Linked DNA regions of Tribolium castaneum. The protein of the gene in region 1 purifies or fractionates together with the protein of each later gene. This does not show direct contact. Links are inferred from orthologs where the notes say so. Each region holds a gene or a part of one and is shown on either strand. Other genes may lie near its edges.

Region 1 (3,276 bases):
GTCTTGTTCTCCCAACGCACGGTGCAGCTCCCATCCGTGTTATTATCCCAATAGCACGAACTAGCGGTGTGCAAACCGGCCCCGTTCTTCTGCATTATGGTACAGGTCACGATGTACTTGTATGGTTTCATCAATTTCGTCAATTCTGATGTGCAACATTCCACGACCGAAGTCGTCCAGTCATTGACTTTATTTTGGGAATATGCGTTGCCTCCTATCACAGTTTCTATCGCGTCTTTAATGATCTTACTCACATCGTCGACCACGAACTGGCCCTCCTCTTGCAGATCTTGGTCCAACACTTCTTGATTCGTTTTCTCCATGATACTAAAATTCTTCAAGTTAATTCTTGGAAAATACACTGTATGGTTTGTAATCTCACTGATATTTCGCCTCAAGCGGCGCAGGAATGACAACAAACTCACCCCTTTCAAAAGAGGAAACGTCAAAAGTGACAAGGCGTGGTAATACCAACCTAACAAAACGTCACCGATATCATAAAAAAATTTCTATTAATCACGCAACGAAATTTTTTATATAAAACTGTCTCATAAATAAATGTTGAAATAAAATCAATATCCAGTTGCTGGAATTTATACATTATCTACCAAACATTTAGATAAACACTATTACCAACCAATGCGACAAAAACACTAAACGTTCCAGAATTTTATTAAAACATTAATAAAACAAAAGCACTTAAATTGTAGTAGTAATTAAATCTTTAATTAAATATACTTAATAAAATGAACCACAATTACAGATTTAGTTCCCGTTAAGGACATGGCCTCGGCCCCAGTTATGCCCCCCGAAAAACCTGCCGCGGGGCTCTTGATTTGGTCTTTGTTGTCTCTGTGGGGGCACCCCAAACCCATGTACACCGCCCACTTGATCCGGGAACCATTGCTTTAGAATGGAGGGGGTTTGTATTAAAGCAGGGCCCCCCAGTTCTTGTGGGTACTTGAACATGAGAAAAAAGTACAAGTGTCCAATTAAAATGCCAATCAGTTCTTGGACACCACCCCCTGATATGACCATGTTAAAGGCCAACAACACCCAAGGGAGGTACATTGCCTTGAAGCGGGTTCCAAACCAGAAATTCACAATCGTGTCTTTGTTAAGCTGACACCAAATGTATAGTACTGAGAGGATCATGGGGTCTAGCAATAACTGGAAAAAAGGGTTATTTCGACTTAAAAGAGTTTTGAAGAACTTACGGGCATTTCAAGAAGCAATCCCACGATGACGCAACAAATCCAGTTGAAAATAAGGAGGAAGAAATAGTCTGCAGGCTTGCCGGCGTAAACACCCTCTTCCAACCTCCTTGAGTAATTATAAAGAAAATATAAATTGATCAGATAGTGAAAGCCGGTGCTTGGATTGAGAGGGTAATACAAGGCTGAAGTCACCAGCCTCCATATTTGGAAGCGTTTTAGGGGCTCTAGGAACAAAACTAAATTGTGAGGCTTCAAGATACCAAAACGTCCCAACAGCGTCAGTCCAACAGTTGATGATAACCAATATCTTGTAAAAATCGGTACATTTCGGTACCAGTCCCCGAAATCAGACATTTCGACCTTAAATACAACGTTTCATTGAACAAAACATAAAGAAATCAAACAAACATAACCTAACTTACTAGCAAATTTGGTAATGCAACTCTCCCAGTATTTATAGTAACACAGTCATAACACCAAGTGGTAGGTTTTAAAAATCATTAATTCCGAAGAAGTGTGAAAAGGATACGTGTTTTCTGGTTCTAAATATTCAATAAATTCGCTAACATGACAAATCAAACTCAGTCAATGGGGCTGTCAATTGTCAAAATTTCCAAATGGGTGACGTAGATGTCAAAAAGGTGATAGGGATTGGTGGTTGCCTAGTTTTACCTTTTTGGCTTCAGGAAACTATCTGCATTTTTGAGATCAAAAAAGTTCCCCAATTTTGATGTCTGTGCTATAATTGACTAATTTAGAGCTAAGATATTTTACTTTAAACCTCAACACGGGGTTTGCAACATAGAATCCAACACATCTTATTTATTAATAGGTACAATTGCAGATTACAGAAAAACTTGTTAAATGGTTTTGTAAAAATCATTTTGTATTTTCCGTTACGTATTAAAACTTACACGCCATGGGTCTAGCCTTTGAAGCACAATTTTGCTCTTAGAACATGATACACAATTTGTTTTTTTGTTATTTCCTTTCGTTAAAAAAAGACCGAGAAAATAAAACTTACTGCACTATGAGCATCGATGAACATATTGAAGTCTTCATATTATTTTTTTTACAAACAAAAGATGAAATCACAAAACATTTTGTACTGTCTGCGCCAATTAAGTTTGTAAAAAGAAGAATAGGTAACTTCACTTGGAACTAAAAGCGATATTCCTGTCCCTGTGCTATCCTTTTTTTTAAGGGGTGTCTTTCCAAGATAAGTGTCCAAAAGTCATTTGCCGTCACATATTTTATATACTCTAGATCAACAGGGTCCATCAGCAGCGCACAATAATTAATAATTTATTTGTCCCTTCGGGTTTTAAACTGATTCTTATGCAAAATTTACAGCTGACTTTGAATCAACTTCGATTTTTTGTTTGGAATTGCCTTCATGATGAAAAAGGCGTTTCCTTGGAAATTTTTGAAGAACTTAAAATTGGTCAAGTTTTGTGTTTACATCGTTATATCTTCCTTCTGGATAAAGCTAGAAACTTCATTTTTTTATAAAAAAAAATCCTCAATGGATGTGGATTGTAACAATTACACACAAGTTTTAGTTTCAACAAAAGAAGACTGAGAAAATAGCAGTTTTCTTGTAACGTTACATATTTGTCTAGTAGAGATGAGAATTTTTTTCTTAAAAGTTAAACCTATGCATAATCATGAAACGAAGCTAACAGCTGAGATAAATTGTTGGTGCAAGAATCATTTCGATATGTTTTATGATTATTTATGACACTCAAGTTATTGCAATTTAAAGTTACTGCCATATGCGCTTGAAGTGGCATTGCCGCGTATTTTCCTTTGTATTGGTAGTGTGTTCTAATTTTCCCATTTTTCTTTTCTCAAAACTGAAACTTAAAAACTACTTATTCACTGAGCATTTATTTCCAAAAAAGAAGTTTCTAACTTTAACCAGAAGGAATTTTTGACTAGTAGACACAAAAATTGACCAATTTTAAGGATTTAAAAAAGTTTCACAATAACGACAAAAACTAACTTCAGATTCTAATTCAGCAACAAAATTGGCATGTGAGAATAAGCGTTCAGTAAA
Region 2 (3,541 bases), on another chromosome or scaffold:
TTTTTTTGTTCCCAATTGTTCCGATTTGTTCTCTTTTGTTCCGGATTGTTCCCGTTTGTTCTTGTTTTACATGCAATCTTAATTGCAACTGAATTTAGTACCAAATTTAGGGAATTTCTGGAAATACTTTTAGATTTGCAAAATTCTGTCTTTATTATTATTTTATTATTTTTATTATTATTATTTATTATAAAAAAATTAATCAGATATGTAAATTTTAATTGTAAAAAGTCTAGAAGCAATAACTATAATAAGTCTTCTGGATCAAGAATGGTTTTAAAAATATTTTTTTAGAAAGAATAAAAAAATCGAATTGATATTGGTTGTTTAAAAAAATGTGTATATTACTATCTAATTACTCCTAATATTTACTAAACAGGTAAGAATAGTTTATGAAAATAATTAATAAGCAAGCTAGAAAGAACAATGATGTATATAGTGAATAAATGAAAATGAATAAAAAACCCCACTTTAATTGTAAAAATAAAGCGAATTATTAGTATTAAAGTTATTTACTACCCTTCGTTAAAGATGAAGATTTGAAATTTATACAGGGTGACCCGTGGGTGCATGCATGCTCCATAACTGTTTTCTATGCAAGCTATCAACTTATCTTTTTTAAACGCTACGTGTTATAATAAGACACGTCTTAAAAATATTTTAATCTTTATACAGAGTGTCGATATAATGTACCCGAGTTTTGTCGACTTATCTGTCATAGTTTTTGTCTTATGTCATATTATGTATGAAAATTACAACGTGCAAAGACCCACAAAAAATTATAACTTTAGAACCATTTAAGATAATTTAACAATTGTTTTCCAGTCGATTCCCTAAACTCTAGCCCATCTTTTGAAATAAAAGCGAACTCGAAGTCGATATTCCAACGCCTACTACAATTTTCTGAAAATGACAAACTACTAATTGCAATAACTCGATTTTTTCAAATACAACACCCTGTATTTTATTGTCCCATTGCATGGCATCTTTTATGAGCTTTTTGTCGATAAGGTTTGTGGGGTCTCATTTGTAAAATGTGTAAGATTTTTGCGAAATAAAATTATTGATGGTTTTTTCGAAAAAAAATCGAGTAGGCCGTTGTCGTAAAATTTATCACCATTTTGAAAAATTATCCTTTACGAAATTTTAAAGTGTAATAGAAATATCTAGAAGTACATCACAAAGGAAACAATTTTAGTAGTCTTTATAAAACCAGGAAGTTATATACAAACAGAAAACAATCTAAAAGTTTCCAAAAAAATCTAGACTATGAATCGTTATGCGGCGAATAGAATTAGTATAATAACAGTGTAAAGGTAAAAAAATAACAATGAGAAATTAAAAAAAATTAAATTAACAAAAAAGTAGTTTCTACCGGTGGCGACACTGTGCGTTGACGTTCCCAAATGCCGTAACCTCAAAAAATGCGTGTTGTTTATTTAGTCCGTTCATTATGTCCGAAGAGGTGATTTTCACCTTATTTTACCTAATTTTAAGCTTCTGTATTATCTACCCCCCTGTCGAGTTCGTGTCTGCCGGCTTCACCATCCCTGCGCTCTTCAGCCGAGTGTTGGGCTCCGAGGACGAAAACTTCGTAAGTTACCACATAAAGCGCACAATCGTAACATTGGGGGTGTATTCACTGTTGCCTTTGGGGTACATCACCGCCCTCTTTGCCTCGGAGTATTTCCAAGACGTGAGTTGGCTTTGGTCCGGGGCGTAATCGCGAGGGTGGCTTGTAGGTTAGTTCTTTGATAATCGACGGTTCTCTCTTTTGGAAAGCGTTTTTCACGACCAGTCTGGCGTTGCCAATTTTGGCGCTCTATCAGATTAGGAACTGGATAATCGACGATTTTAAACACCACCCGATCGCGGTCAATTTGGCCAAGTTTTGCAACAATAATAACAGGGATTGGAAAAGTGTCGCCGGTGACATCAACACCGAATTTAGACGGTATTATTGCGACTATAATCACCTTTGAGGCGTTTGATTGTATCGTTGCAGCGTTGATAAAATCTGCGTCCAAACGAGCTCGGTGATTAAAGTGATAGCCACCGAAAATTGGATTTTGAAAGTGAAACCCTTTACGATTTCACTGGCGCATCAAAGCGACGCCAGTTTAGTGGTCCAGAAAGCTGACACGCACCGGATTTCGCTCCAAACGACCAACGAAACGCAATACTTAAACATCGAAGTTAAGTCGGCCCGAGTCGGTGTCGAGACGTTTATTATCCGCATTAATGCCTCGGATTTCAAGGACTTGGAAGACAGAATAGCGAGAGATATCACCATTTTGCCCAACGTCAAGTTCCATAAATCTGTGACCGAGCAATTCGTTGACGTCTTCAAGGAGACTATTAAAAATAACGCGCGCTACGAGACTAGAGAGGTTGGGGGGCTTTGCCTGGATTTTCGCTGAAGTTTGCTTTCAGGAGCTGGACCAATGTATTGGGTGCATGCAGACGCGCCCCAGCGTCAAGTTGCAGAAGCTGTGTGGGGATAACGCGGGCGGGAATGAGGGCTGTACGACTTGCTATTGCAAGCCGATGTGGTGTGTTGATTGCATGGCGAAATGGTTCGCTTCGAGACAGGAGAGCGACCAGCAGAGTACGTGGCTGTCGTCCAAGTGCACGTGTCCGATGTGCAGGGCGAAGTTTTGCATTTTAGATGTGTCGCTACTTGAGAGTATCGACGTTGAGGAATAAATTGTTGCTTAATTTTAACTGTATTATTTCTTGATAAGGTTTTATCTGGAGTTGCCTGAACGAGATTGCTAATTTGGAAAATAAAAATTTATTTTTAAAGAGTTGTTTTATTGTTTCCCATGAAAAAGCAATAAATGTTTTGTTTACACGATTGATGGGAAAAGTCGGTTTATGACCTGCGAATTGCAATATTTATGGTTTCGTTACATTTATTAGTTAAAAATTTGATGGTTGGGAATTGGGAATTGTAGCTTTATTTTTATCACTGTTGATTCTAGAACCTAACGGAGTGGTTTATTGGTGTTTACATGTAACATTGGTTTTGACCTAATTTTACTTTCGGGTTGCTTATCATTGTATGAAATAATTGCAAAATTATGTTATAAATTTATTGCGAATTGTTTATTTTTACCCATTAGTACTACAATATATGTAGTATATTTTTTCCGATTTGTGCATCGTATTCGAAAAGCCACTTTATTTGCTCTAATTGTGTATTGTGTGCTTTAGATAAGAAATTTTATTATTTCTGTCTCAGGCGGTATCTGTTTTACGTTACAGATCGAGTGCATTTTGATTTTTTAATTCATTTTAAAGTGTTTTTTTTCACTGCGTTTTTGGATTAGTTGAGCTATTTTAAAGCCGTTTTTATCAGCTTTCTCTATACCTGTGTTTAACCGTTTTCGAGTTAAGATTTTTTGAAAATTTTTGGATTTGCACCGATTTAAAAAATCGGTAACTTTCTTAGTTTTAGAAATTTCGAAATTATATTTGGAGAAGTAAAAGAGAAAGCCTTCAGTGTGTTCAAAATTGGAGAACAAGTTAAGGATTTAAA

The links. Proteins that work in one complex are often made in the same cells at the same time.
Region 2: the proteins of Der-1 (region 1) and E3 ubiquitin-protein ligase TM129 purify together in Homo sapiens (affinity purification with western blotting; 3 studies listed by BioGRID). This does not show direct contact. The link is inferred for Tribolium castaneum from reciprocal best matches to the Homo sapiens genes DERL1 and TMEM129.

The regions. Positions count from the first base shown.
Region 1 is NC_087396.1:17,558,351-17,561,626, forward strand, and holds Der-1 (derlin-1), read right to left. Parts: upstream 1,846-3,276; 5' UTR 1,640-1,845; intron 1,578-1,639; 5' UTR 1,572-1,577; coding exon 1,218-1,571; intron 1,171-1,217; coding exon 766-1,170; 3' UTR 657-765; downstream 1-656. Other genes in the region: Dlc90F (dynein light chain Tctex-type), read right to left, coding at 1-323. UniProt on the Homo sapiens protein: Functional component of endoplasmic reticulum-associated degradation (ERAD) for misfolded lumenal proteins. Forms homotetramers which encircle a large channel traversing the endoplasmic reticulum (ER) membrane.
Region 2 is NC_087395.1:16,920,147-16,923,687, reverse strand, and holds E3 ubiquitin-protein ligase TM129, read left to right. Parts: upstream 1-1,337; 5' UTR 1,338-1,453; coding exon 1,454-1,696; intron 1,697-1,742; coding exon 1,743-1,954; intron 1,955-2,005; coding exon 2,006-2,390; intron 2,391-2,433; coding exon 2,434-2,706; 3' UTR 2,707-2,805; downstream 2,806-3,541.